Linked DNA regions of Alligator mississippiensis. The protein of the gene in region 2 purifies or fractionates together with the protein of the main gene of each other region. This does not show direct contact. Links are inferred from orthologs where the notes say so. Each region holds a gene or a part of one and is shown on either strand. Other genes may lie near its edges.

Region 1 (15,085 bases), on a different chromosome or scaffold from region 2:
CCATGTGTCACCACCTGGAAGTTCTGAATCCTGAAGTCAATTTTCAACCCTTCTCCCAACGATAACAGCATTCAGTTTTATATAGACCTAATATTTGTAAGGACTACAAAAATGGCAAGAACTCCAATCATCCCCTTCCAGCCACCTGGAGCAGTTGATTCCAAAAAAGGACCATATTTAAGATGATACATAGGAAGGGGCACCTAACAGGCTATTCTGCTCCACACTGCTCCCAGTCTTAGGCTTAATGTACTCTATTACATATATATTCTGAATCCCCACCCTGGTACATTAATTTCTCCAAATTGCAGCTTTATGAATAGCTAACTTTTACCCTGTAACATTCTGAGGATAAATCCTATAAAAAAAAAGTCTATAATTTAATCCCTTCTGGTGTCCTTCACTGATCTAATAGGGTGGCTTTTCCAGATTTCTGTTGTTGGACTGTGTGTGTTCCAGTCTCTCTGGTCCATATTTTTTCAGGTCTGTTCCTTAAAGCTGTCTGATTGAAATGATTTATTTAAACTTACTTACAGTCTACAAAGGCTATTTTATACTAACTTTAATAAAAGCACTCCCACTTGTGCTCAGCCAACAGGCTCTCTAATTACACTGGGGTCTGAAATGCTCCAAACACAAATACTCAGACTTCGAAACCTGCAGCACAGCTTGTCCCTGAGCCGATGTCTCGCTGCCTTTGGCTCTCTAGTTCTCCCACCCTTCCCCGGAAGCTCATCGAGGTCTCACGTGCACTCTGGCCTGGTTTTTTTCCCTCCTTTGTTGCCCCATAGTTTGCTTGGTCTGAAGCTGTTTTGCTCCATTATTAACTTTCAGACTGAAAGTGCAACTCAGGAAAAATGGAGTCATGTCTTCATGCACACACCCTTATGGCAGTGCTGCCTTACCTGTTCTGTATGACATGGAATGATGCTGCCAGTTTCCTTTGTGTCCCCTTTATGACAAAAAGTATTTGAAACAAAACAAAAAATTAGCTAGCATTGCACACCATCATTGTCACATTTCACCACCAAGGTCCCTTACAGACTTGTGTCTGGATTATACCATAGCCACAGAACTAAACAGCATGCTAGGCAGCCCTTCAAAGTTACTGTCAACAAACATAAATAGATACCTTATGCTAAAAGTCCAGTAGGCACAACCCAGCATCCTCAGGCGTTGTGGCGGAGAAGAAAAAGAGCATCTTGCTAGAAACAAGTCACTTTTGCAAAAATATCCCCCTCCCCTGGGAAAGGGGAAGTCTTTCAAAAATAAAATAGGCATTGGCAATAATCTTCATCTAAACTATTCCTATTGATAAAGGATTTTTCTTCAAGCAAACACTCCCAAGTTCGTGGATATGAATATTTCCCCACTAAGATCATAATGCAAAGCAAAACAATCAATTTACCTTTGAATAGTTACCTGATTAAAATTTTTGAAATTGAACTCTTTGTAGATGGCATCTCTTTCACCTAACTCAGACCATCCCGAAGATTTGAGGTCAAGTAAAACTTGATTCCTTTCCTCTGTGGTCAGCCAGTGTGACTGCGAAGACTATCAAGGGGGAAAGAAAAGAAATTCCAGAACCAAGGTTAATGTCATCTCTTTTCCTTATACAATACAAAAAAACAAACATGTGCTTAAATTGTGGCTATGCATTATAGAAATGTAATCCTTCAGGCTACCAGCAGCAGAAAATTTATTATAGGGCTTCCTTGCACTTTATAGTTGTATAGAATAGCATAACTCCCCAGGTAATGGAGTCAAGAAACCTACCTGTTTGGTAAATTCAGTTATCTACTCAGACCTAACTCTGAGACAGCGCTTTACTCTAGCACTGTGATAAAGTATGCACTACTGATCACAGGCATACGTGTGATAGGTAGCATGATTTAGTCTCATGTGTACTTGGCCTATGAGAATTATGCGCAGGATGTAAAGCTTGAAATAATTCCTGACAACTCAGTTCTGATATTTTCTCTCATTTAAATACTAAGCTAAATTAAATTTACAAAAAACATGAAACTGAATGAAAGTTAGCAAGCATAAATCAATTTTAAATTAGAAAGCACAAAGGCAACCAGAACCTGCCATGTATTATCAGCATTGTATCTTACAGTTCCTAAGAAGCCCAAAAAGAATTAAAAAATTAGGAAGAAAAGAATTTAAACTAATTGTTTTTAAAAAGATTTCTCCCAAATAAAATATACCCCATTGTATCTCAAATCTGCACTAAAAACTCCACTGATAGTACTGACAAGTTCTGCATTAGGGTAAGTGCTCTCACACCACTATAAATCTAGAGTAGCTAAATTAAACAGGGTTACCTGTTTTCAGAAAAAGTCTCATATTTGGAAATGTACTTGAGCACATTTAACTTTGAGCTAATGAGAAGTCCTATTGAAGCCAATGAGACTACCCAGATGCTTAATGCATTCATATTAGAAACCTGAGTTTCTTGCTAATACAAATCCTAAGTTACCATGAGGTTAGAATCAGACCTGAAGGATAGCTGACTGTTTTAAATGTTTCCTAACTTTCTTCATAAAAATATAAAATACCCTGCCTTCCAGAAGGTCTGAGCTATTAATGTGATACTATACTTGATCCAAAGACACCCAAGCCTCTGTTTCTGACCCCTGGTTCGTCCTAAACTCATATTAGAAACATAATGGTAGATCGGGGAGAAACTCCCAGTTATAAACTTCAAGTGGCCTTTATGCTGTCATATTATTAAAACAACATAATTTTGTGAAAAATTACTAACATTAGATGAAATATTTTTGATCATACATTGCAAGAGAACATTTATGTTGGGAGAGCCACACAAATATGTGTGTATGTGTGTGTGTGTGCGCGTGTGTGTGCATTTGCACAACTATTTATTTTGACAATTTTAAAATGTGCAGTAATAACACTCTGGCAATGCCAGCCTACGTAGACTTCAGTTGCTCTGATCTCGCACTGAATTTGCGACTCATTTGGCAAAGCTGATAGGTAAAACCAATAAACAATGTTTTGCAAATTCAGTCCAATACATACATGTGTATGCCGTATGTTGGTTCAGGTATAAAAAGTTAGCTCTTCACCACTAGATGGTGCTATATATTAAATCAGAACAAAAAGTAATTCAATTAATTCTGGTTAAGAAACAAAAGAGGTTTAAAGCCTGCTCTTTATTACTAAATGATCTTATGACAGAAAACTACAATAAATATGTGCATCACTTAAAAAAGACACAGATATAGGTATAGGCATCAACGCAGCACCTGCTATTTAACTCCACGCAGAAAAACATTTTAACTGACAGCAAGGGAACAAGAGCAGTTTAATCAGTTGTACTAACTAGATCTATATGTAGAACTATTTTGATTTGGTTAGATTTGTCCTTTTTTTAAACAGAGCAGTTTTAAATACCAAAAAAATAATGTTTCAATTTAATTTTGTCTCTCCAATCTGTTTCCTCTGCTTTAATATAAAAATTAAATGTCCCAGTATCGTATTAGTGCTGCCATAGCAACTTTTCTGGATTAGAATGTATTTTATACCTGATTTTAAAACACACATAAATGTACTCAAAAGTTAGTCTTTGGCCTGAAATTAGCCATGCATGTCCTCCCCCAAGAGGAGCTTGAGAAAGTTCTGTTCAGTGGTTTTCAAAGCAACAAACCACAAAACGGGGATCTGGGGGTACAATGGAGTTCGCCCTCTGTTGTTGTTGAGGAAATTGTCATTCTTAAACCAGTTAAGACATGTCAGTTGCTTTCTTGCGGCCTGATCTAAACCCCACTGAAGTCAAAGAGTCTATCCAATGACTTCAGATTAGCCCCTTGGTATTCAGGTTTAAAAAAAAAGCCCTAGATTTTTGTTAGCCACAAACTTGGTCCTCACTGAGCAATACCACATTTGACACTGAATAAAGTTTGTTTATAAATAATAGTTGTAAAGGCCACGTTCTGTAGATGTGCATGCCAACACAAAACTGCCACTGACTGAAGAAGTTCAGCAGAAAAAGCATATGCAGCATACATTAACCTATTTTTAAAGCAAAAGAGAGAAGCACAAGGCTCCAGGCACACACACCTGTCATATCAATGGAGCACAGCTCAACCTCACTGAAAATGTGGAAAAGTTCACCAAAAACAAACACAGCATGGACACTAAACTGTAAATATAAGACTTGGCCTACAAAATGATGACAAGTGACCCATGATTTACTGATTACGTAAGATGGGCCCTGAAGCTATTAATAAATAGCAGCAGATTTATTTGAAAGCAGTCTAAGGAAGGTAGAGAGGGATCCGAGTTAAAAGCATTCACCTCCTGTAACAGACTCATATATTACAAAAAAATTTTTTGTGGGTGTGGAGAGAGTTAAGGTCTCATCTTGCATATATGATTATCTACTCCTTGATATAAAAATCAGAATTGCTATGCTCTACAAAACCTGAACTGCCAGGTACTTTTGCCTCCTGGGAGAACAGAACAGGGACCCAAGCTGAGACGTACAAGTTAAACAGCCAACTCAAAGACTGATCGCTTGAGATGCCTGTTCAGGGCCCACGTGATACCCGCACTGATATCCACTTGGGGTTTACTACTCTGCCAAATACACTCCCAATGTATTTTTCAAGGCAGCATCTTGAAGAGGACTCTGCATTCAAATAAGCATTTTGGGATCGAGGGGATGGAACAGCCGGCTTGGGTGTGAAGGGCACCTGTGCAAAGGATAACAGGGAAAAGGCTAAGTCTGTTCAGTAAACTTACTTTCCTGGTTGACAAGGTTTCTTTGAGTGAATCCAATCTCTTTTATTAGACCAACTGAAATAGTTGGAAAAGTTTTTCTTAGCAAGCTTTTAGGTTTAGAAACCCTTCGCCAGGCTGAGGAAGCATCTGTAGATGGTGTGTGCTCTTGCAAGCGACACCAGCTCCTCAACCAGAAGCAACGTGGCCAGCTCCACGTGCAGCCTCGGGCATCTCCCTGCTTCCAGGCGAGGAGACGGCCTATCCGGGAAGTTCCCCACGCAACCAAAGCTGGGCGCAGCCAGAACACTTCCTCTTGTGAAGTTTCCTCATGAAAATCAAACTCAGGCATGGTTTGCTCAGAATGAGGCTGGCTCATGAAAAGCAAGCTCGGGCAACTCGCCCAAGAGGCCGATGCTTACTTCTTTAGAGCCATCCAGTGCAAGGCTGCCAATACAACTGAAACTGCCCATGCCCCGGGGAGGCCGGTCCCGACGGACAGGAACCCCAACGCAAAGTGAAGCAAGGGAGAAGCGACTCCATGTGTGCTTTTATAGCGGGTAAGTGTAAAGCTGCATAATGAGATAACAGTCCCAACGGACTGCCTTGTGCAAACACGAGCGACCTGCACCTATCGCACACGTGCACGGCAACCCTTCCTCTCTTCTGCACCTAACCGGACCGTAGGTGTAAGCGATTCAGCCTGGGAGCTCTCCGCGTTTCAAGGCTGCGAGGAGGGGTTGGGGGTGTCTGAGAGAGAGAGGGGCTTCCCCATCACGCACCTACGCCTCCTTCGATCCCTCGGAAAACGCCAGCGCTTAGCGTTCAGTCGTTTCTTGACCGTGAAAAATAATAGCGCCATTCTTCAGTTGCAGAGATGTGAAAGACCCGAACAGGTCAGGATGGTTTTGACACCACCGGTTTCCCTCGCTTTATGCTGCACGCGCGTGCCTGGAAAGCGGGCGTCACTTGAACTTGTGCGAAGGGAACCCGCTTTACAATGTCAAGGACAGGGCAAGGCCTCGACTGCACGGCCCCATGGACAGGACCGTTTTGGGCTCACCGAGAGCACCAGCGCGCACGCGCAGACACCGCCCGCCCTCACGGGGAGGCGACCACAGGACACCGAGCGAGGTGCGGGGCGCCCCGCTCCCACAATGCACCGCGCCGGGCACCTGACGGCACGCTGCCACCGCACCGCACCGCACCGCCGCGTGACGGCGCGCGCAGCCACTGTGGGGGATAGAAAGGGCCGTCGCGTGAGGGCGACTCGGCCCATGCAGAGCCCGCGCGGCTTCCTCTGGCAGCCCCCGGTGCTCGAGACCCGCCTGGAAATCTGTGACATGGGCCCTGGGGCGGACATCTCCCCTCACATGCGCCTCGACCGCCCCGGCCCGGTCCCGCCCGCGCTCACCATGGCAGCCCGGCTCCCGCGGCCCCGTCCCGCCGCCAGCAGCGCCCGGCGCAGCGCGAACCCCACGCCCGGCATCCCGGCGCGACCACGCGCGGACAGCGCGGGGGGGAACGGGCCCAGCTAGGGCCTGCGCTGCCGGGAGTGGGAGCCGCGTTCCCCCCCCCGCCGCGCCACGGGGGTGGAATGGTACTGGCCGAACCACGCCCACAGCCTGTGAAGGAGTGGTACGGCCCCGCCCCCCTGCCTGGGAGTGGTAGCGGCCCGCCCCCCCGGCTCGGCCAATAGGATGCGCGCGGGTGCCGGGGAAGCCGGAAGTCGGAAAGGGCGTGCGCTAGGGGCCGCCACGTGGGAGGGGCACCGCGGCTGCCGGTCTGATGCTGCGGCCTGACAGCTGTCCGGGCGGGTGCAGCGCGGAACCACCTGCCGCCGCTCAGGACCTGCAAGCAGAGCCCAACCCAGGCTTTATCCCAGCTGGTGCAGCACGGAACCACCCTCCCTCGCTCAGGAGCACCGAGAAGCACAGGGGCTGCAAGCAGAGTCCCACGCAGGCTTTATTCCAGGGGTGCCTAACCCGCCCAGACGAGTGACGCACAGCACACTGGGCTGACGGAACCCTTCCCCCCCCTCCCCCCACCGTCGGCTGCAGCCAACACCTGCACCCCAGCTTGTTCCCACCACCACAGCCAAGTACCAGCAATGCCAGCATCTTCCCGTGGTGCTGCTGGGGCTCCAACGCCACAGGTCTCACCGGGCCAGAGTCCCCCACCAAAGTTGCAGGCTCTGCAGGCTGGAGGTTTGCCACCCCTTATAAAGGAATAGTGCAAAGGCAACTGAAAATGTGTTAAGCCTGCCCCCTGCACACTGCAGGTCCTTTGTGCCATTCCAGCCCACCTTGATGAGGGGGGTGACTAAGGACACATTGCTGATTGCTTAGGACAAATAAATGACAAGACAGAGACAGGAGTAAAGGTCAGAGGTTCAGAACAAGTGCACTGAGAGGGATCACTGGGTGAAGCCCGCTGGGCAGTGCCCACTGGCCCTCCAACAGGTAGACACTACCCAGTGAAACTCTGCCCAGAGATGTAAACAGACTAAATACTGAGGCAAGGTAGACCTATGGTCTGACCTGGTAGATCACAATTCTTATGCTTTTATTATTAAATCCTTACCTGATGTAAAACAGCATTGCTCCGAAGTCAATATAGCTACACAGATCTACTTCAGTTGGAAAACTAACCAAGTATCATCATTCACGTAGGAAAAAATGGCTCTGTAGAAGCTTCTGTGCAAAACTGCCAATTCTGTCATAGATTCAGTTATTTTAGCTCAGACACATCCCATTTCAGCTCTCTTTAAAACCCGTACAGAAGGAGTATTAATTGAACTCTCCATAACTATAAGGAAATTCATACTGGCAATATCAAGCTTCATGAGAGGCAACACAAGTTATGGTTATCCATCTTCTCTCCTAGCTTCATTTCAGCCTTTTATCATAAACGTCTGCTGTACATAATAGCTATTCTCAGGCAGACAAGTAGAGAACATGCAACAAACCATATCTTACTCTAGATCCTCATTTAATATGGTAGGTCATAGCAACAATAAACTAATCCCCTATTTACCTGAGGCTTTCCAACTAAGATAAAAAACAAACGCTTGTGGAAATGTAAATACATCTCATGATTAGTCCTGCTAAGTTTAGGTGAGAAGCTATATTTCAAAGATTGCATGCCAGCCAGAACGAATGATTTTAGTCGCGTGTAAATTCTTTTCTACAAAAACAAGCAGTTAGGACATTTAATACAGGTAAATATAATATAATCCTTAGAGCAAAATGGCAGATCCTTACAGACAATAGTAAGCCCACAATAGTAAATAATACCTAGCTTCAGGGCCAAATATAACACATGACCACCTGCTCTCCCTGGCTGCACAATGAAGTTTAAGGTGTTTACTGCTGCTAAGCTTCACCAACTGGTCCTCCCCACCCACACCCCATCACACACACACCCACACCCCAACACACTCTCTCTCTCTCTACCTCTCTCAAACAGTCCTTCCTAAAGGTACTATGACAGTATCAAATGGAGGAATAATTACTCTTAAATGTTATATTATTCATCCAGCTTTAAACATATTAAATTTATCATTTTTTCCTTGTAGGTAGCAAGAAAGGAACTACACAAGCTTAACAAATACACTCTTCTCCTGAACCTCCATTTGTTTATTTATTGCACCAATAATTACCACCCGTTTCTGACATCTGCACACCCAGTAATTGGCTAAAACATCTGTTCTGTTAATCAATGAAATTATAATGAACAAATTCACAGTGTCAATATATTTCAACTGATTTCTTGCTTTATCCACAGGCACAAAGTAGTGCCCTCATTTCATTCTGAGAACTCAAGAACTTAATCCTGATGCTCCTGTTCTTGTCCTGGTATCAACCACCGAATGCTCTCAGTCCGAATGGTGGCATACATAATAAAACTAGCCAGAAACAGTAAGGAAAATAAAAGTAGCCAATCTACTCCTTTTGTCAGAATGCTCGGTAGGGGGCCCTCTCGGTCTTCCTCAGTCACCACCACATCAGGTTTAGCTTCTATTCCTGAAAGAACAAGAAAAAAGGATCCACTGATTAATATCAATAGTATTAGCCAAGTTTAAATCTTATGATGAGTTAGCTGGAGGTGGACTGTATTCAGATTCCCAAATATGCTGCTGGATTTAACACAGTTCTAGTCGATATAGCCACGGGACCCTTAGCAAGGGTCAAAGATCCTCCACCCTCCTTTAATAAGTAACTATCGGTCTGTCATACTAGTGCATCATCCTCCACATTCAGAAGGGCAACGTGTCTTAGAAAAAGAGAAGCCTTATCCCAGTGAGATCAGAGCCCAGGCAGGCACTTCCCAACAACAGATCAGAAGGCAATATTTTACAGTTAGAGTGGCCAAAATCTGGAACCAACTTCCCAGGGAAGTGGTCCTTGCCCCTACCTTGGGCAAATTCAAGAGGAGGTTGGATGATCACCTGTCTGGGGTCTTGTGAACCCAGCATTCATTCCTGCCTGTGTCAGGGGGTCAGGCTAGATGATCTGTTCAGGTCCCTCCTGACCCTAGCTACTATGAAACTATGAAATGGGAAAAGGGCCAAAGGCCCATTGTTCTCATCCTCCTACTGCCCCCAACACAAGAACTGAGACCAATGTGTGCCTAACCTCCTGCCTATCAGGGAAAGGACCCTAAGACATCTGTCTCTCTCCCCTCCTGGGCATAGTAACTAAAATAAGGATACTCCTAATGTGTGTCCACTTTTATTCCCAATAAATTCAGGGCTTTGATGGATAAAGGTGCTTACTCTCTACTCAAATTCTCCAGCTGACTCCCACCCACAATAGCCCCGACCAGAACTGCTTTTGACAGACAGGCTCCTAGCTTCTGCCCCTCCCTGAAATCACCCTCACGGTAAGAAGAAATTTCCTAAGACATTTTCATGGATCCCCTAATACAATTTCAGTCTGGGGCTACAGCTGACCCTCACCCTCACAGCTCTACATACCTGTTTGATTAAAAATAAATGCCTTCAATGTTTCCAGGGTCCGATCCGTATGATTAAATCTGGCCATAGGTTTAGCTCCTTGGAAAAGAAGGATATTAGGAACCGCCACAGTTCCAAATCGGGTTGATAAACTGAAGGAAAGAAATAGGTAACAATAGGTAGTATTTACTTCCTGAGAAAACCAGAGTTTTCATCCTCTTTTGATTCAGACTCTAGATGAAGCTACCTGCTATGCTGAGATGCATCCAGTGCCACAAAACGAAGAGTTGGAAATGCTCGAGGCAAAGAATTAAAATGAGGAGCCAGGTTGGCGGAGAAACGACACCAAGGAGTGTAGAACAGGACCATTGTACAGTCACTGCTGTTTGGATTTAAAAACTCCATCAGGTCCTACGAGAGGAGAAGAAGAAAGCAGATTAGAAAAAAGAAGGGCCAGTTAAATGTGAAACAGGACTTTATTCTCCATCAGTGCATAATCTAGTAACATTCAGGAGGATGAGGCAATACCACCAGGAGCAAGTTTGAACAGGCTTTTCAGTAGCATTTTAATGATTCCAATTAACAGAATGTGGTCCCCTTTCTTTTAACCCTATTTCTCAGTTAGGAATCTCCTTGGAAACCAAGTAATACTTTGGGGTTATCATTATAAAACAAATGCAATAGTTATTTTCCTTGCTCTCTTCCCTAAAGGGCTGTGCTTGCTGGCTTTTGATAACAAACCAAATTTTGTTCATCAAAGTGGGGCTCAGCTACCTCTTGCCTTCTCCAGAAGGGGAAATCCAGGCCCTGGCATGGACAGGGAGCTAATGTTGGAGAGGAAAAGGAAGTGGAGTTGTTGGTATTATAGACAAATGGGAGAAGAAACAACCAAAAGGAAAAGCTCCAAGATGACAAAAGCCTGTGCAATGCAGGGCAAGTAAAAGAGCCAGAAGATAAAGGGGAAGTTTGAGGACAGAGCAGAACAGGGAGGTGTTCACTGGAGAATCACAGAGCAATGCAGAAGGCAAGCAGGCTGGGAGTAAAGAAGGAGGTACTTGGTAAACCAAAGTAAACCTTCCACCCAGGAAGAGCACACACCAACTGCGGATGCTTCCTCAGACTGACAAAGGGTTTTTAAAACGGAACTTGCTAAGAAAAAACATTCCAACTATTTAAGTTGTGTTAATAAAAGAGATCAAATTCACCCAAAGAACCTTGTCTACCTTGGTAAACCAAAGGCATTCAAATGAACTGGTTCATGTTCTCTTCCAAGTCCATCCCATGCCCTCGCATTTGGGGTAATAAAATGTGAATGAAACAAACCCTAACGAGTTCTACCACTTTTGGGGTGGGCTGAGGGTTTAACATCCCAAATATTTAACAAGTTTGTTAGCACTCATCCTTGTGATAAAAAGGGAACAATTCCTCCTGTAACCTCCTGGGAACAGGAACAGCTTAAGGAGATACTCCCATGATGAAAAGCTTTTTGCCGGGTTGCTTCAGAGATGTCCTACACTCATGCTTAGTGTTTCAAATTCCACTGATATTTTAGTAGAGCTTTTCAGAAACAAATCCATCATTCGTATTTCAACCACTGCCACAGCTAACACTTTAACATTACAAATCTCTTTTAACTTTAAAGTTTTAAGGAAGCCGGGGGGGGGGGGGGGGGGGGGGGGGGCAGAAAAGCTGGAAGGAATGGAAACGTCACACATTTGGGTCAAGCAATCAGAGCTTGTGGACAGAGGTGATATCTTTTATTAGACCAACAAGATATTTGCAAAAAAGATGCCTTTAACTTGGCTTTCAGGCATGAACACCCTTTGTCAGGCATCAGAGAAAAGACTGTAAAAGTTCTCCTGAGTAGAAATGAAGGAACGAATGAATGACAGACGAGGTGCTCTGGGTGAATCCGATCTCTTTTATTAGACCAACTTAAATAGTTGGGGGAAAAAAAATTCTTAGCAAGCTTTTGGGGTTTTTTTTAAAGAATTTCTTAGCAAGTTTCTTAACCTGGCAAGTTAAATAGTTTCTTAGCAAGCTTTCGGCTAAGAAAACGTTTTTCCAACTATTGAAATTGTTCTAATAAAAGAGATCGGATTCACCCAAAGAGCCTTGTCTGCTCACGTCCTTAGACCAACCTTGCTACAATCTACACCCCTGAACGAGCGAACGGACACTGGCGACGCGCAGGGGGTGCGCCACCCGCGAGACCGGAAGTGCCAGTGGAAACGCACTTCTGGTTTCGCCGCTGGAGGACCCCCCACCCAGACCTGGGGGGGGACCAGTCGTCCACGTGAATGAATGAATAAATTTCTACTCACGACGACTCCTACAACCTTTTCTCCAATGCCTGATGAAGGGTGTCCGTGCCCAAACGCTTGCAGTTAGAGACTTTTTTTGTCAAAATCTTGTTGCTCTAATACAAGAGATCACCTCTACTACGAGTCCCCACTGCTTTTTCCTGTAGCCCAACACGGCTACCGCCCGCATCCCCAACACACTGGGGTGGAGCGCTACACGCAGCCCGCGGGGCCAGTCTCAACCGGGGCCTGGAGACCCTCTCACGGGTGCCCCCCCAAGAGGGGCGGGGCGGGAGCCCCGCGGCCCACCTGGGAGACGTTGAGGACGTGCAGCGCGGAGCCCCGCGGGCCGGGGCCGCTGCGCTCCTCGCAGGCCACCTTGGGCGCCCGGCCGCCGTCCGTGCCATTGGCGTCGTCGGCGGCGGCGGGCGGCGGCAGCACGGTCTCCAGCACCACGACGGGCTCGGGCTCGGGCTCGGGCAGCGGCGGGCGCTCTCCGGCCTCGCACGGCGCCTCCGCGTCGCAGGTGTCGGCGGGGAGCAGCGAGAGCAGCGCGGGGGCCGCGGCGCCGCCCAGCATCGCGTCCGCCATCTCCGCCGTCTTGTAGCGCGGCGGCTCCTCCGCCGCCGCCGCCGCCGCCAGCAGCAGCCGCAGCGCCGAGCTCAGCCAGGCCGCCCACAGCAGCATCGTCGCGGCCTGGTCTCCACGGACAACCGCCGCTTCCGGGGCAGCGCGCTCGCTTCCGCTTCCGGGGCGCGACCCCGCACGGGCTGCGGTCAACGGTTCTTGCCGCCATCTTGGGTCCGGGCGGAAGAGTGTAGGCCCCCGAGTGGGCCGCGCAGCCGCACTCGCCCCCTTGAAGCACACCCCCCCACCCTTCCCCCCCCCCGGGCTATGGGGCCAAAAGGGAGGAGCAGCCGCAGCCCAGTGCCATGGACCACCTGGGCCAGCAAGGCCATCCAGCCCAAGGACACGTCCGTGGGGCAGGACGAGCACCTGGGCCCCAGCGCAACCTGCTCCACCGTGCGGGAACCGTGACCGACTACTTCAACCTGCTGCCGAACATTAATTTGATTATTTTTTTTACAACCTTTTGTCATCATTATTGTCAGTCATCTTCACGTCATGGTCGACGCATCGTTGCCTGTTCCAGCATCTGAAGCTTTCATCCATCTGGTTTCTTCTCTCGCAGACCGTCACGGAGGCCTCAGCTGCCGCCCTGGAGGACCGGACCAGAGCCCCTTCAGCCGCCGTTTTGCACAGCTCGCTGGAGACCTTCGTGGCACTGGAACGACGTAGCGAACCTTACGAGACGCACCGTCTCGGCAACGCTGAATCTTGAGCGAAGTGTTTACCCGACGGCCCGTCACCGTTATGTTGCTATGAATTGCGTGTAGGCCGACAGATCTGGCCTCAGGGATAAGAGATTTAACTGCCATAGACAAGTTTCTCGTAGCGCTCGGTGGGTCCTCCCGACACGCCAGCCGAGACGGATGGCCAAGCTTCGTCCCCTAGCTCTGGAAGGAGAGTCACAACCGACGAGCCCAAGCCCAGGCAGGGCACCGGTCTCTGAACTGAATGGACACTCAAGTGCTCCAGCATTTCGCTCCTCCTTGACTTAAGTGACTTCCCGCTCGGCTTTCCGGCGTCTCAGGATCACTGCCATCCGCTACCGATTCTCCACCCCCATTGTAGGAAGCCTGCATACCACTCGGGGCCAAGCCTCCCACTAGGCACCAGGCCACGTAGAGGTCAGACACAGCAATGCTAAGAGAAAAAAAAATGCCTAAATAACTTCAAGGTCTAATAAGGAAAAATGTTTCCAGCTACAGATTACATTGTGACCCTATAGTCAAAGCATTATACACCACAAGATTTGCAATGCAGGAGTTTTACGATTGGGTCCCATGAAATAGCAGGCCACGAAGGCTGAGGGCGGGGAAGAAAAGTAAACCCTATTCCTTAGAGCAGTGGTTTTCAATCTTCTTTTCATTTGTGGACCCCTAAAAAATTTCGACTGGAGGCGCAGGCCCCTTTGACTTGCAAGCGTGGGTATTCACATACTTTTGATTGATCATGGTCAACTTTTCCAGACCCCTTAGACAGTCTGCATGCCCCCAGGGGTCCATGGACCACAGGTTGAAAACCACTGTCTCAGAGCTGTCAGATACAACTGAGCTGTGCTAGTCGTTGTCACAGTCTTGAAGACTTCGGTATAAACTAGAAGGTTTTCTAAGGGAGTGCTGTGACATCTCCAAAAAGTGTCCCTTTTAAAGACCCCCGGCCTGGGCTTGGCCTGCAGACCACAGCAGCTCCACTTACCATGCTCGTATACACCATTCCAGCCAGCAGGTGGCAGACTCCACATAGAACTAGGAGTCAATCTTCTTACTCGAATATAGTGTTTTTATTATCACAATACTTTGGAGACTTCTCCGATTAATCCTCTCGGGCATCGGAGAAACAGGTCACATTAACCCCATTTTACAGATGGGGGAAAAAGCAAGGCAAATTACTTACCTTGGGGCTGTACAACTGAGGTGGTCTTGGGCTCAGGCTGTGGCTAAGGGGAACTTTTGATTCCTGCAAGCATTCTCTCATAAACCAAATCAGAAGACTACTTAAATAACATGCACACACCTCGTTATTTTAGTTGAACTTTCACTAAGATCTCACCTGTTGTAAATTAAGTGCAAGGGGCCATTTCAGAACGTACAGAATTCTTTTGTAAACTAATGTTATTTTAATTTAAACACATGATGGCCTTAAACTCTTATAAACACATGCTGCACAGAGAAGCATACTGGTCTATAATCTGTAGGTCTAAGTATTATTGCCTTAAGATAACTGGGCACAGGCATGCTAGGAGTATTGTTTCTAAACAGGGACTAGACGTGAATCACTTTCTGGGAGCGTCTACACAAGACACTACTGCGCAGTGGTTACTGTGCTTGTATTGAGTACTTGCATAATCAAGTACTAAATAAACATGCAGTAACTGGAGTTACTGCGCAGTAGTGCCGGCAAATGCCTTTTAAGTGACACTACTGCACAGTAGCCTAATAATACTGCGCAGTAGCAT
Region 2 (15,747 bases):
GGGGAATATTTTACAGGACTCTGAATTGTTTGCTGTTGTATTTGCTTTACAGGGTTATGCTAGTAAAGAACTTTTAGTTGTTTTTATACTGATGAATGTTTACTCCCCAGGGTTAAAAAACACACCTCTGATTAACCAAAGGAAAAAAAAATCCTTCAGTGCACACACACACAGGACCTTTGCATCCTTAACAGCATAACAGAGGTCTCTATATTTAACTCATCAATTTCCATACCATGTCCAGCTCCAGCATCTGTGATGTTCCTAAAATTAATAGATGTTAATCTTTTGTTTCCTAGTCTCTGGAATCTGCTGGCTCTGACTGGCCTTTGGCTACAGTAATTGTAGCAGTTTCCATGTCTAGAGGTTGCAAAGGGGCCAGTATCAGCTGGTACTTTTCTTCTTAGAGCACAGGGAAGCTTCATCCTGTGGTTTAAAACAAAGGTAATTTATTATCTTTACTGGCATTTTTCTGTAGTGAGTCGAGATGTCAGCTGGTCTTTTCCAAAAGCAGCCTCTCCACAAAAAGCAATGGTGAAATTCAACTTAGTCTAAGTGTAGTGTGGAGTTCAGAAAAAGGCAAACACTTTCTGAATAGTATTTCTGTTCAAAGTACTTCATTAAATTTAGGTTACTACATAATACAGAAGATAATTCTATACACTGGCTGGAACAGTTAAATCATTACACTCCACTCCACAGAACAGCAAACTAAAAGGAATGAGATTTATCATGCTATCATAAAAGGCACTTAATTTATGTGACAGAAGTGCTAAAGCAGCTTAACTATGATCAACTAGAATAATTCATAATCAAATGCAAAGTAACCCCTGTAGCAAGCTGGAGTTCTAGGGGTAGCCATAACATCCCCCAGTGACCACACAACCCTTGCTCTGCTCCACCTCTAGGCTACCCCCACCTTCTCACTTTCCTGCCACACGTTGATGTACATATTTGATGTAAAGAGTGGCTGCCTAATGGGTCCTAGAGGATGCCACAGTTCCTCTGGCAGCTAGCAGGTCCCTCCCGGACCCCATCAGTCTTGACCCTGCCCTCACGTTAAGTGGGGCCTCTTGGACTGACCTTGCCCTGTGGGCAGCAAGAGCCTTAAGGCTATTCGTAGCCTCCAGCCTCCACTATAGCTGTGGCTATGCCTCGCAGGTGTTGCTATCTAGGCAATCTTCCTGTCTTGGGGCCTTGGCCTTTCCGGCCTTTGCCCTGTTTCTCTCACTGGGCCATCCAGCCAGGGTCTGCTGTGCTGGACCCAACTTCTGGACTTCAGCTCTTTTTGTGCCTACTTTGACTCTGTGCTGGGCCCTCTGGCCCTCCCTCTGCCTTTTTCCAGGCTTGCAACACACCTGTACCACTCAGGTACCACTGGGACATCCATGCCTCCCCCAAGAGGCCAACTCAAACCAGTGGTCTAACTACAATGAACAAACAAGCCCTCTGGCCATAACATAAATTAAATCTGCTCCAGATGCTGTGTATAGAACAAAGCTTCCCCTTACCCTGGGCTGCATTTCTCTAAGTCATCAGTGTCTTACTGGCAGTCCCCAAGGTAGTTCAAGAATCAGCCAGGCATCTTCCTGCAGTCTTCCTGACCAGAAGCTCATCTCTCTGTGGCTCAGACTTCCCTTCTGGCTCAGACTCTGGTCTGATATAGTCTACACCCTGCCCCTTCTGACCAGGGGCCTGACAGCTGGTCTCCATGGCAGCTCACAACCGCTGTTCTGGCAGCATCCCTGCTGCCCAGGCTTGGCTCTGCCCTACTGTCCTATTGCAGAGCAGCTAGCTCTGCAATAGGCATCATAACCCTTTGTCTTCAGCTGTTTACTCCCTTGTAGCTAACTCAATCTAGGAAGAGTTCTCCTGCCCAGCTGCAGGTGTGGCCCTTCCTTTAATGGGCAACTCCCTGACCAGACAGCAGTGTTTCTCTGCTGCCTTCTCTCTTGTAGTTGGTCTATATTCTGCCGCCTGGACTCTTCTTATCAGCTGCAGTTTCTCTCTTTCCTTATAGTAGCAGGAGCCCAAGACGCCTCATTACAACCTTTTCACAGTATAAAGATATAAAGCACATCCTGGGAATGAATGTACACCTCAGATGGACACCTGGGAAAGCAGAAAATGTTTTAAACCTCTGAAAGGTAAAATCTGTTAAAAAACAGACTGGGTTTGGTCACTGTAGAATGAATCCCCCCACTCCACAAAAATATAACATTTATCTTGCATCAACTGTGAAAGGATCCTGTTTGGTCCCATGTTTGAATTGGACCAGCATTCCCTGGGCCCATTCTGCATGATCAGACTTGTCCTCTAAGGAAAATAGGAACATGTCAGTTTTCAGCATGGATGCTTCAAAATGAAGAGAAACATCTAAAAAATTACTTTAATTAAAGTTTGTGGCTAAATTATATTTTTAGTGTCTCTGAGTAGGGTCAGATGACAGCAGCTAAAATGGTGATGGCTGGTCTCCTCCTGCTCTTAGAGCTACCTTGTCAGCAGTCTGGTCCTACTCCTTTACATGCTGCACATGTAAAGCCTAACAAGAGGTGCTACTCACTACAGTATTTTCCACCTAAATCAAACCAGTGAATACAACTGTGGTAACTGTATCAGTCAGTCCTTGGGAAATGGGTAACTTGTATCCCAAAATTATGCTGTCTGGGATCTATCCTGGAAGCGTTTAAATTTCTCCATGCACACAACTTCCTTCCAGGGTAGTAGCTCAGTGCAACTTAATTTTTTAACAGGAGAGTTGGGGACAGGTGGGGCATGGGGAAGAGGGGGAGGTGCCCCAAAATGTTGTTTGCATTTTATTCCTTTGCTGTCCCATGCACAAATAATCTACATCACAGTGACACTTGCTCTTGTGACTAATGCCAGAGATCCTGATTTTCTCTGTTTAAAAACATAAATTCTCTGGTAAAAGAAAAAAACCCCAAATTTTCTGACTTAAAAACCCAAAATCTGTGTTTTTCCACAATTAAAATTAAACACTACACACACACACACACACAGAGGTATCAATTGAATACAATTGCACCCCCTGCTGCTTTGTGGCCTTGAGCAGCCCTGATATGCTGTTGCCCCTCACTCCCAAACCATAATGCCCTAGCTCTGCTGGTGCCCCTCACTCCCAACCCACAGCCCTCTAGCCCTGTCGGTGCCCCTCACTCCTGACTCATAACCCCTTAGCCCTGCTGGTGCTCCCTACTCTCAACCCACCGTCAGTGTCCTTTACTCCTGACCCATAGCCCCCCACCCCGGTTGGTGCCCCTCACTTCTGACCCGCTGTTTCCTCACTCCAAGTGTGTGAACAAGAGAATAGCTGTGTGGGGAATGTGTGGGAAGGCACAGGTGACCGGGGGGGGCACATACCCCCCAAGATTTCTGCACCCACAACAGGACATGGGGCTACAGCAGGGCCAGACTGTCTCTAGGCAGGAGCCATCTCTGTGGCCCAGCAGAGGGACCCAGTGCACCATGATGAGTAGGCATGGCAGGGGCAGCAGCAGTGGTATTAGTGTAGAGTTGTGCCCCCTGCTGCTGCCAGGTGGGCAGGGAGCACCTCAGCTTGGCAGCACAGTTATCCCTCCCACCCTGAGGTCCCCAACTGGGCCACAGAGACAGCTCCTGGCCAGAGCTGATCCACAAGCCCCTCCGTGGGCACAGAAGTCTTGGAGGGCACTGCCCCCTCCACCCTGCTAACATATAGCCTGGGCCCCTTTCCCCCTCACCCAACATGTGCCTTGGCCCCCTTCCCCACTTTACCTAATGTGTGGCCTGGGCCCCCCCCACACCTCACTGCCCAGGGACTTACCTGGAGGGAGCTGTGGGAGCAGCTCTCCACCACCCTGCCTGGCTACCAGGTGCATGAGCATATGGAACAAACAAGTGGAACAGAGGACAGCAACAGCAGCAGCAGCAGCGGGTCCTCTAGTAGAAACTGGAGCAACAAAGACAGAGAGACCACTTGAACTGAGTATGTGACCCGGGAAGTGGGGCAAGGGTGGAAATGAAGGAAAGGGAGGGACCAGAAGGGACTGATTTTTTGTGTGTGTGTTGCACTCATTTGTGGATATTGTAACAGGTACGGGTGACCAGCAGGCCTTTGTACAGGTGTGCAGGTGCAGATTTCTGTAATGGGAAACGTTTAACCATTTTGTGATGTAATAGGTAGAGTGTAAATATATATATAACTTTATATATATAGAGACAAATATTTTTACAAAAAAAAAAAAAAAAAAAAATGCATGTGGTGCCCCCTGCCTGGCTGCCCTCCTCCCATAGCCCTTGTGAGCTGGAAATCTGCAAGCCTGCAAGGGGAAACCCACCATTTCCTGCATATTTGACTTTAAAGGCAAAAATCCATGATTTTCTCCTTTAAAAAGAAAAGCCCCATTTTGTTCCATTCAAAGAGAAAATCTGCATTTTTCCATAGCAAATGGAAAATCCAGATCCCTGAATGACTAAATGCTTCTCCCTTTATAGCTCACTAGCTCTGCTCCAAGCATCAGTGAAGAAGGTTATTGAACAGTGACATACAAGATTTCAAGCCCCAGCATGATCTCAATAGCAATTGTCTTAATATGATTAGTACCCATTCCAATGTTTTTTAGCATCTGAAATTAATCAAGTTACCAAACTGCCTGGGAGGGAGAAAGGAAGATGGTCTCATGGGAAAGGGGTATGGGATATCTGGGCTCTGTTATTGGATCAGCTGTTTTTCTATTTGACTCTGGTTATGTCACTTAACCTCTCTGTGCCTTGGTTTCTATAGAATGCTTAGCTACCATCATAAAGAGCTTTGTGTTCTGGAAATAAAAAAGTTATCTGGTGCTTTACAATTCAGTGGCTTCGCTACTGTATGAAGCAATGACACTTCATTCATCAATGTTTGTAAAATACTTATAGAGAGCCAAAAATTAAGACAGCTAAAGCATGTTACATATCAATTCATCTTTTAAAAATTTGGAACTCCCTACAGTTAACCACATGCTAAGGAATGGAACTTGGGCTTCTTTGATCTGGCCATGTCATAACAAAGCTATTGGGAAGAGAGATTTGAAACCTGTCTGACTTACTACTGTGTTTCCTGAATACACAATATGGAGAGTTTCTGACTTTAGTAAGAATGACACTTAAATAGAGAATGATCCCACATAGCATAGTAAAATGTACTGAGGAGAAAGATTCTAGCACTGCTTTGGGTAGTTACAAGATTGTGCATTTCATACCAAGGCCTTCCCTGCCTCAGTTCCATCATATCATACCTCTTCTATGTAATTGATATAAAATAGGTCCAGAATTCAGATTTTGGATGAGTTTAAATAAAATAGTCCTCAATCTAATATTGATATAAATTATTTTTAAACAAAGACACTAAAGTTTAAGTCTTTCCCTGCCATGACTTTAACCCAGACATTTCAACACTGCTAGTGCATAAAAGCCTGAAAGTTAAACTATTATATTTGCAATACTCATTCTATAAAAAAATGGCAATGGAAGGTCAATGTTAGTCCAAAACAGGTTATATAAAATAAGTATTTTCAAAACCCACAAGCAATAAAAGATTTCCATGATTACCATTGTTGAAAAGAAAATAATAATATTCTTCAACATCTTTCTAATGTGAATGAATCAGGCAGTGAAGCTGGGTAAAACAGGCCAATTAATTAGTGTTGTTAGCTCATTTTATATTTCTGCCAAAAACAAATTGGCAAACCTTAAATTTTCTGAGATGTAGCACAAGGAAGAAAACTCTGAATCTGAAAGAGTCCTTCTTAATATTAGGGTTATAATTTTGCACATGCAAAGAGAAACTAGGCATTGTTACTCCAAGACTCCACATCAGTACTGTCACTTTTTTAAATATATTTAATTGCTTTTAATGGCCAAACTGACATTTTCAGTGTTTTCCTTTACAATTTTCCACCCACAGTTGTTTGCTCAGTGTGAACTTTATATAGATGTTATCCAATCTATGGTATGTAAATATGTATTTTGCTTTAAGCTGAAGAAAACAAAAAGCATTAAAATAAAGGAAACCTTACAGGAATAAACAACAGTAAGAGGTTTGGTGTTTATGCCTGGTACACCAACTCTGGGTGCAAAATGTTTATTCTGTCTGCACAAAGATCCTAGAAGTAAAGTAGTACAGAATACAGAAAATGTACATTACAGTTGGGGATTGTAATTCAACAGAATAAACATTGTCCAAAGGTTACATTTGAGTACCAGGCTCCTGGTATTCCTGGAAAAAAATGCAGACTCCTGGTTGCTGTCCCTTTGACCATGCTGAGGCAGTGTTCTGGAACCCTACATTAACTGTGTTCACTTTTCTAGCCTGCCAAAGGGAAGATATGCCTATGAAGTGAGGCCAAACAGTTAGCGGAAATCCTTGCTGAAAGTCTTCCCTAAGGATGTAACTGTGGCTTGCTATGCAGTCCTACTTGAGAAGAAGCTTGATCCATCATCTGGAGGCTTGGCACAGGACAGGAGTGCTGCTGAGCACAGACTATGCAGCTCCCAAAGAGAAGGAAGTGCCAAAGGTTACTCTGCAGTACTGCCTTTGGCCTGTATTTAGGCTCCCTGCTCCATCCAGCTTTCCTCAGGTTGGAGCTCAGGTGGGAGTGTAGAAAAGTAAACAAACTGGGGGAGCTAGGAAAATCCTCTCACTAAATCACTGTGGTTAAAATCCTCCTGTTTCTGATCCCACTAGGAAGAATCACACAGTCTAGCTTAAGTCTCTACAAGCTACAAAGTCTATGGTGGAAAATCAGACTTTCATGAGTAGATTATTTACTTTGTGCCTTGAGTCACATATTTGAAGGACAGAAGAGACCATCTAGTCCAGTCTCCTGCATTATGCAAACCAGAAAGTTTGCACTGCATCCAGCCCATTACCCTGGATGTGCTAGATCATCTCTTTCACAGAAGTCATCCAACAAGTGCGAATACAACCCTAAGGCTGGGTAACGTAGTATCAGTGGGGGTGGAACTAGAGTGATGGCAAATGGAGCTACTGTGGGCAGCACTTGCAAAGAGAGGAGGAGCAATCACGGGTAGGGCAGGAATCTTTACAATGCGCCAACACCCAGTCTAGCACTTGTGCGTTTGTTTTTTTTCCGCCTGCTTAGATTGTAGGTCCAACAGGGTAGGCCCCATGATCTGAGCATGCTGTTAGCAGCTAACCAAATCAGTAACTAAAGCAGTAAGTTGCAATGGCAAGAAAAGGGAACAGGTAAGTGCAGACCGAGCTATTTCAGCAAATCAGAGCCAGTGACGGGAGCAAATGCAATGTCGCTTAGGCGACAGGCAATCAAGTGATCCTATCCTGCTGAAGCCAGTTGGAGTCTGTAGAGAATAGTGGAGACCTTGGGAACATTAGAATCAATCCAGTGGTTGTACTCATGGGGGTTGTGCAGAGCTCCTGAGGCTCCCAACCCAAAGCTTTTGGAAGGGACTATGCCAACATTCTGAGGCAGGTAGCACCTGGTAGAGCTAACACCAAATGTTCCGGGTCGGGGTCTGCACATTCAACAGCAGTAGCCTTCCTTTCTGGAGTGGAGACGCTACAAACTTACTTCCAGCCCCTGCTGTCTATCTCTGCTCTTAAAACATCACAGCCAAGAACCAGCCACACTTTCGCGCTCTCACTTTCCAATTCCCCTCTTTTATCGCGGTCTCCTATCCTGGCTGTTCCTCTGTCCATTCCTTTTACTCTCCTTTTCCCATCTGCCTCCCTGCCTTTCCCCCTCCCCCTAACTTGCGCTCTCTGCACTTTGTGAACTGCTGCTGCAAGGCTGAAGTCCAAAGTTCAGTAACTTGCTAAGCACACGGATAAATATGAACCTTGGAGAATTTACATTGCTCCAATGTAAACAGATAGCCAAGGGTCCCTTTATCAGCACTGGCTCAGGACAGTCGTGGGGGGTCTGAAGCGGCTCATTTTTGTATTTTGTTTTTTTGGGGGGTGTAAAGGCGGGAGGCTATGCCATTCCACTCCGCTGACAGTCAGGCGTGCTACCTCAGGAATATGGTGTTGGGATAGCCGGAGGCAGAACGAGTTGAAACTCAAATTCAAGAGGCATCAGACTGAAGACCATGGTTGCAAAACTGAGCCATCTTCAGGTGGAGTTGCTGGGAGCACTGCTGGAGTCAGGACTTACCAAGGAGACTCTGATCAAAGCACTGGGTGAAGTAGATCCCTATCCGCTCCAGAGTGAAAGCCAGCGCGCCATCAGTGCCATCCAGGGAGAAAAAGGAGAACCCTGTGCTGAAATTCCCAATCTCCCTAATGGGATGGGAGAGTCCAGGTTATCCGAGGAGGAAACCTCTGATGATGGGGAGGAATTCACTCCTCCGATAATGAAGGAGCTGGAAAACCTAAGTCCAGAAGAGGCTGCTCACCAGAAGGCTGTGGTGGAGAGACTATTACAGTAAGGACACCATTTTTCTTCTCTTCCTCTCTCCCTCCATTTCTGTTTTCCTCACTTCTTCCATGCAGTATATTAGCATTCAGGGTTGATCGGGGTGTGCAGAGATTGTCCCTATCACTGCCAAAACTCACCTACCAAGTTCACCGTCTTTTATTGATGTTCAAACTTTTCTTCTGATCTCATTTCAAGCACAGGACCAAAACCCAGTTACACATGAAAAGTTCTAATACTGTCTGGGAAAAAAGGACTTCAGAACAATCAGAGACCTGTAGAGCTTCTGCTTCTTTGGCTATGAGATTTTATAGAATTCACAGTGTCTGCCACCAAGAAAAAAAACAGGACAAGTCCACACAAATCTAGACAAGGCATGAATTGCCATCACAATAGTCTGAGAATCTGCACTGCAGGAGGAGAAATCTTCTAAGTTTTTCCTGAGATTTTTACAAAGTTGTACATATTTTTCTTTACTGACTTTGGTACAGTCAGGTTTGCCAACAAAGACAAACCAATAGGGCTTGATCCGGGTGTCTTTGTGCAGACCATATGTCCCCTGACTTCACTGGGGATTTGGGTGTAGATGGAGGGCAGACCAGCTACACTCTAATAGTTGTCAGCCCTGGTAAGCATGCTCAGTGTCTCCATTTCCCAACATGTATACTAAATATACACAGGGATGCCATCTACAAGCTCTACTGTTGCACAAACTTGCCTTAATATACCATCATATTAGGCAAAAAGTATGAGGAATTCTCTCTATCAATCTATCTAACATCAAGAAACTCAACCACAAAACCTCACATTCTGAGGTTAGGGTCAGGCAGGAGACACTGGGTAGCTGCAAGGTCCCAGAGACTCAATTTGCCATTTAGAATCTTTCTGAGGCAAGCTAAAATTAGTCTGGAGGGCTGAGAGGCTTTTTGTCCATTCCTCTCTATGGGAAAAGGAAATACAATTAAAAATGCAACAATGAAAAACAAACACAAAACCCCAGCAAAAGCCCATAGGTAGCAAAACAGAAGAGTAAGAGTAAGGATTAATATTTAAGAGGGCATACGTTCATTGCTTGAGCTCTAGAGAGTCTGGGAAGATTTAGAGCAGATCACATTAAAGTGCCTGATGGAAAAAAAAAATTGGAACAGCTCTTACCTGGAGAGGAAAATGTTCCACACAATTAAATCTTCTTACCTACCCAAGGAGCCTCTCACCTTCCTCTGCCACTACTTTTCATACCCCTCTTTCTTTGTTACAAGCCCCAGCTGTTTCCATCTTCCCTGTCCTACTCCTCTCTCTTCTTTCCTTCTTTTGCTCTCTCTCATCCCCACTTCTGTCTAGCCCCACTGTTTCTGTGTCTGCCTATCCAGCTCTTTCTGTTCCACACATCTTGCTCACTCCGTCTCACCCCTGCCTCCTTCTTCCCGAGTATGCGTAGAGATCTTGGGGCAGTTTGAGCTCCAGTTGCACCGGGCGGGCCCTGACTAGTTACTAATTATCCAGTGCCTTTATTATTTCTCTTTTGTCTTATAAATTTATAAACAAAAAGACCCTGATAAGCTTTTTGATCATTAACTTCTGATGATTTATCGGGTGTCTCTCCAGAAAGGAAGCCATGGAAGAGTACTTGGCTTTGTCTTCTCTCTAATAAATGGATGAAGCAGGGGTGGGACTCTGTCCACTGTGCTCTGGTACAGAGAATCTTGCACCTGGAAGGAATTCCTGCCCTTGATCTGGGAACTGATCATGGTTCACCTTGGCATAAACTCTGATTTCTGATCTCTTACATTTTGTTGTCAATTTCAGCAGGCCGCTTATTCCTATGCTATGCATTTATAATGATGCTCTTCACTTCTTAAGTACTTTCCAACTCAGGATTTCAAGCTCTTTGTAGACCATGATTTGAATGGCATTCCCATTTTACAGGTGAGGACACTGAGGCACAGAAAAGCAAAGTGACATGCCCAAGGCCATGTTGAAAATTAGTAGCAGGATTAAGAACAGAACCAGGATCTCCTGGAGCCTCATTCTGTTTGTGTCTTACCACTGATCTCCTTACAAAAACTCAGCAAAAATAAATTTCCCTTAGCCATAAATGTTGTAAGAAAGAGGTCAAAATTATATTTCTATCATGCATTCAGGACTGTATTAAAGCAATGCTTAGGACCCAGACTACAAAAAAGGCAGGTAGGGTCTTCATGGAACATATTAAACCAAAGCCACTAGAAGTACCTCTGAAATGGGGTAGTGGAGAGATTGTTCTGATAGGAAATGTGATTTCTGTCTTTGTGTTCAATGTTTTAAAAAACAATTGTTTTATTGGGGAAGCAAATTCAATGCACCTGGGTCAATATCAGGGACTGACAGTGGGGAAGCAGCAGACAACAATAAACCCCCCCCCCCCCTTTAGCAAAGGAACTATTTTGTGATAGAAGATAACCTAAGGAGGTTGTCCTTAGAATACCATTATATACAATTACACCTAGTGCAAAATGGTATATTACAGAAATTCCTTTCTACGAGCTGGGACATCACTCAATAGAGGGTTTTTTTGTTGTTTTTTTTGGGGGGGGGGGGGGCCGGGGGGAGTTTCCCTTCCAAAATCATGGTGGTAAGATTCTGTTTTGTTCAAATCTAGCGGCCAAAGCGAGCACTCCAAAGTGCAAATTCCACCTTGTGCCATACCAGCAATTCTGGGACTAACACTGTCAGCAACTTTATAATACAGAAATTGTCTCATGAACATCTTTTGTAACTATGGTCACAACCACTTACTTTAAGATCTGTAACAATTGGTTACATGGAAAGACAACCTTGGGTTCATTATTCTACACTTTTGATACACTTTAGAAGCTGGAAACAAGAAGAGACCACAGCATGTGACCAAACATTTCTTTGTAGACCTTTAATATGTACTCTGTGAACCACTTAGTGGTTCCCAAACTGTCAATGTAGATCACTGATTATGCTCAGTAAATACAGGATATAGGTAAATCATATAGATTGCCCTCACTCCCTTAAAACAGCCTTAAGTGCACTCAGTGGAGTCCGTTTCATGTTGTCCCTACAGAATATACTGATCATGCACAAAAGGAGGTGTCATTAGTAAGAAATTAAGAGTCTCCCCTCCCCTCCCCCATACTGTGAAGCCCAAAGAGAAGAGATGAGGAATAGGATTTAGATGGAGGAGTCTCATTGATTTTATCCATGGGACTTGCAAACCTTAGCACTTTTGGGCTTTTGAAAATTCCTCCCAGGGACCCTCCAGAACGGAACAGGACTGGGGTGTGTTAAGGAGTAAAGTAATTCCTGGGGGCACTTATCAGATATTTCAGGGGGAAATGAGAGAATACAGACTGGCTTTGGGAGCATAACAAGGAAAAGAGCAGACTTCCACAGCAGAGGGGTTTACTGCCAACATATGATAAGGAGTGCGGGGTCAGGGTAAGGGCTGCTGTACTCTGGAAGGAGGCATAGGAATCATTTGCCAAGAAAACAAAGGGTAAAATTCCATTGGGAAAGCAGGAAATGGAGACTGCAAGCACATTTCCACCAAAGCCAAGGGTGAGGGCACATTTTCTAAAGGGGCATTGTCCAAGAGCTAATGGCCCTGCCCTTCCCCCAGACAGCTACTTGCTGGGGGCAGCCATAGCTGAGGGTCCAGAGATGAAGCTACCACACACCCTTCCATTTAATTATATGGTTGTATAAGCCAGAATGAGTCAAACCAGGCCACATTCAACAGAAAAGAACCCTGCTGGGGACAGTCTTACCTTCCCTGCTCTCTGGCCATCCCAGGTCCAGTCTGTGCATTGACATCAGTGATAGGTTTCTAGTAGCCTCCAAAGGAAAGCGCCAGAGAGATTGCCCCAAGCATTTCAAACCTCTAAACACACCTTTAACTAAGTCCCAGCTCAAAGAAGGAGAAGGTCAAAACCTAACTCCAAGAACTTAGGGCTTTTTCTGCCAATAAAGGGAATCTGGAAAAAAAAAGCGAAACAAAACACATTGCCCTGGGAGATGGTAGAGAACAGGGGAAGGAAGGAATGGAAAGAAAACAACCTGGAAAATGAGGAGGAGAGAGATGAGAAGGAAAAGAATAGAGAGAGTTTGGGAAGAAAACCCAGGAAGAACAAAGAGAGAAGGTCCCCTGAATGTTACATCCCCAGCTCTCTGGAATGGGTTTTCTTTAATGCTAACAACTTGATATTTACTTTCCATTTAAATTTGAGATGTTGCTATAAATTATCAACCAGCCTCTTGTTCCCTTTGAGTTTATAACTAACTACCTGGGTTACTTATTGTTCAGGTAACAAAAGGGAGGTGAAAACGCCCTTTAAAAGTGACCTCAGAACTGAGGAAATGGGAAGCTGGAATGGAGACCAGGCCTAGGCCCCAGATACCAAGAGGGGCAAGGGAGTGTGTGTTCAGAGGATATGGAGAAGCCAAAGGCAGGAGACCAGAACATAGGAAATGAAGAGTGAGTAAAAGTCTATATTATGTGAGGACAAGAAGAATATGGAGGAAGAGGCTGTAGAATGGGAAAGAAATAGGTGAAATTTTGTACTTGGAAAGAAGAGAAGTTGAAGACAAAGAGGAGACTTTGGAAGTGAGAAGTGGTCAGGAACTGAGCAAGGCCAGCCCAATTTTACAGTCCCAGCTCCCTAAAGGCATTGGGACCTTTGCCAAATCAGTTCAGCAAGATAAGGCTGGGAGTGGAATCCTACCCTCCTGCTAGAGACCACAGGAGTTTTGACACTGACTACAGTGGGGCAAGGATTGAATAGGAACAGAAGACTGGAAAGGACCTTTTGGGACATGAAGTCTGTTCACAGGCAAATATTTATCCAGACAGTCCTAGAAACCATCATGCTATAGTATTTTGGTCAATGGTTCTACAGGTGGTGCTGTGATGTCAAGTGAATATTCAACTGCCCTAGAAACACAGCCTACTCTACTATATAGGATCATAATGTCCATCTAACACTGCAATTACAGTCTTTGTTACAGGAACACAGTCAAGGCTTCATTCATACTTCACCACCCTTTACCACATGTTAGGTTACCCAGGCTGTAAAGAGATTCCCCAATCCAGGTGTATTTGAAGAGCAGACACACCTTCAAAAACACTCTCAACACTGGCAGTGCATAGTGCTTGAAACTATACAGTAGAGTTTTAAAACAGGATTAGAGGATCAGGCTCACAAGTACCTCCACCTTTCTTCCTACCATATAGCACTAAATATCCTAGTGAGAGAGAGAGAGAGAGAGAGAACTTGGCATCTTACAGCTGGAAGATGAGAAGGAAATCAATTTCTTACAGAGGTTTCTATGGGTGATAATAAGGTCCCCTCTTCTTCTCTAGCTGAATCGGAAGCATACTTTGAAAGAAGCCACAAGTCTCAAGCCTGAGTATCTTCTCATTCAGGACCCTGAGCCTCTGAGTAGGGGCTGGGTATGCATTTAGAGAAGGCAAGTATCAGAGCACAGTTGCTGGATAGGTTCACTGAAACAAGCAGTACCTAAAGGGAGATTAATTCTTGTCTCAGGAACTGATACACCACTTGCTTAAAGCTCAGAAAGGAAATAGCTATTGGAGTCAGTCCAATTTGGGGCACAGGGAAGATGGTGAAAAGTGGAACACCCTAATACAGCTCTCACCCACCCTTTATGAGAGGGATGAGTGGTCCCATTTTAAAATAAACTTTTTCAGAAAGTTGCCCATCAGCCTCCCACTGCACCGACTGCAGCTGAGCTTGCTCCTTGGACTGTCCACCTGTTGTGGAAGAGGGTAAAGCAGGAACAGAGATAAGGGTGTTTGTACTGAGGTAACAGATTTGGACTTTGTCCTCTTTATCACTTCGCAGCCTCTGGCAACCCACTGAGTCAACAAGGCAGCTAGAGCTGTGCTGCTGCCCAGCCTTCAGACCTCAGCTCTCCTGCTACATCTTCTCCAGAGCTATTAACAATACTTTGTAAAATGTTTAAGCAAGCACATAATTTAGTTTTGAGACTGGGTCAAAGCAGTACAGTGTGTCCGCTTGAGGAAGAGATTTCCTTGGGAATGCAAAGGTGCCATTATCCAGCACAGCAAATCTGTCCAACTTGGGGTAAGGAGAAGATTAATTGTTCTCACTGCTTCTGGTGTCCACTCTTCTTGTAGGCAGAGATAAGTCCTGGCTGATATTCTTGAATCCTTTCTGCTGAGCCTGGATACACAGCCAAAAGATTTTTTCTGAGATGCATTTTCTCTTCTTCCTAGAGAGGATCCCTGGAGGGTAGCAAAGATGGTGAAATCCTACCTCCAACAGCATAACATTCCTCAGAGGGAGGTGGTAGACACCACAGGTTTGAACCAGTCCCACCTCTCACAGCACCTCAACAAGGGCACACCCATGAAGACACAGAAGAGAGCAGCCCTCTACACCTGGTATGTCCGCAAGCAGCGAGAGGTGGCCCAGCGTAAGTACAGCAATAACAGGTTTCTCTAAGTTCTAGTCTCATACATCTCCCACAACTATCCCCAGCTCTGAGGTGGAAGGAGTGCTTTCCAGCAGGAAGTTTAGACAAGTCCATGTCAGTGTTCAGTGGGGTGACCAATTGAGTGGTGGCAGAAACCCCCAAAACAGCATGCAGCCACCCTTTGCTTTTCATACAGAGGCAGATTATAGGCTTCCACTTGCAACTCTACTTCTTTGTCCAAGCAGAGGCCTCTGCTCGCTCACAATGGAGTATTGTGTAAGAAACACAGGCAGAAGTTGGGAATGAGCAGTGACAGAATCCAGGACCTTCAGCCTCAAAAGCAGGCCTCTGAAATTTAATCTAATTAAATAATTCCTCTAGCTACAAGTAAGCAATAGACTGCTGTAGTCACTGGAGCCAGCCATTAGTGGAATATCATCTCACACATGCTAAGCAGGTATATTACAAATGCATGCTTGGAACTAAGGACTTTGCAGCTTGCACTTCCATATTAATGAGCCTATCTGGAATCTGTTTCAATCATATTTATGGGTCCCTAATAAAATTACTAATTTGACTGATGGCTGGTCTTAGAGGGCTGCACTCTACATCAGCTGGATTCAGTCCAAGCTCCTGCTGTTTTGATTTCTTTCACTGCTTCATGTTAGGAATACAGATGCAATGTGTCTAACATCAGGGCCAAGTATATATGGCTCCACTGGGGATTACCAGATCCATTTTAATAAATTACAGAGCAGTCTTGTCTAGATTCTGCTTTGGTTTTTGTTCCATATTAGCAGACGTGGACCAAAGACAGATCAGCTGGGTTCCAGGTGAGAGAATGTTACAG

What was found.
Region 1: the proteins of HNF1A (region 2) and PCBD2 purify together in Homo sapiens (affinity purification with mass spectrometry; 4 studies listed by BioGRID and IntAct, with this or other methods). This does not show direct contact. The link is inferred for Alligator mississippiensis from reciprocal best matches to the Homo sapiens genes HNF1A and PCBD2.

The regions. Positions count from the first base shown.
Region 1 is NC_081832.1:70,579,844-70,594,928, reverse strand, and holds the start of PCBD2 (pterin-4-alpha-carbinolamine dehydratase 2), read right to left. Parts: upstream 6,326-15,085; 5' UTR 6,233-6,325; coding exon 6,158-6,232; intron 5,628-6,157; exon of another isoform or gene 5,526-5,627; intron 1,555-5,525; coding exon 1,423-1,554; coding exon of another isoform or gene 1,409-1,422; intron 953-1,408; coding exon of another isoform or gene 906-952; intron 1-905. Other genes in the region: TXNDC15 (thioredoxin domain-containing protein 15), read right to left, coding at 8,572-8,768, 9,722-9,852, 9,948-10,111, 12,313-12,690.
Region 2 is NC_081833.1:20,598,261-20,614,007, reverse strand, and holds the start of HNF1A (hepatocyte nuclear factor 1-alpha), read left to right. Parts: upstream 1-7,845; 5' UTR 7,846-8,109; coding exon 8,110-8,444; intron 8,445-9,590; exon of another isoform or gene 9,591-10,158; intron 10,159-12,208; exon of another isoform or gene 12,209-12,808; intron 12,809-12,830; exon of another isoform or gene 12,831-12,871; coding exon of another isoform or gene 12,872-12,915; intron 12,916-14,697; coding exon 14,698-14,897; intron 14,898-15,747. UniProt on the Homo sapiens protein: Transcriptional activator that regulates the tissue specific expression of multiple genes, especially in pancreatic islet cells and in liver. Binds to the inverted palindrome 5'-GTTAATNATTAAC-3'.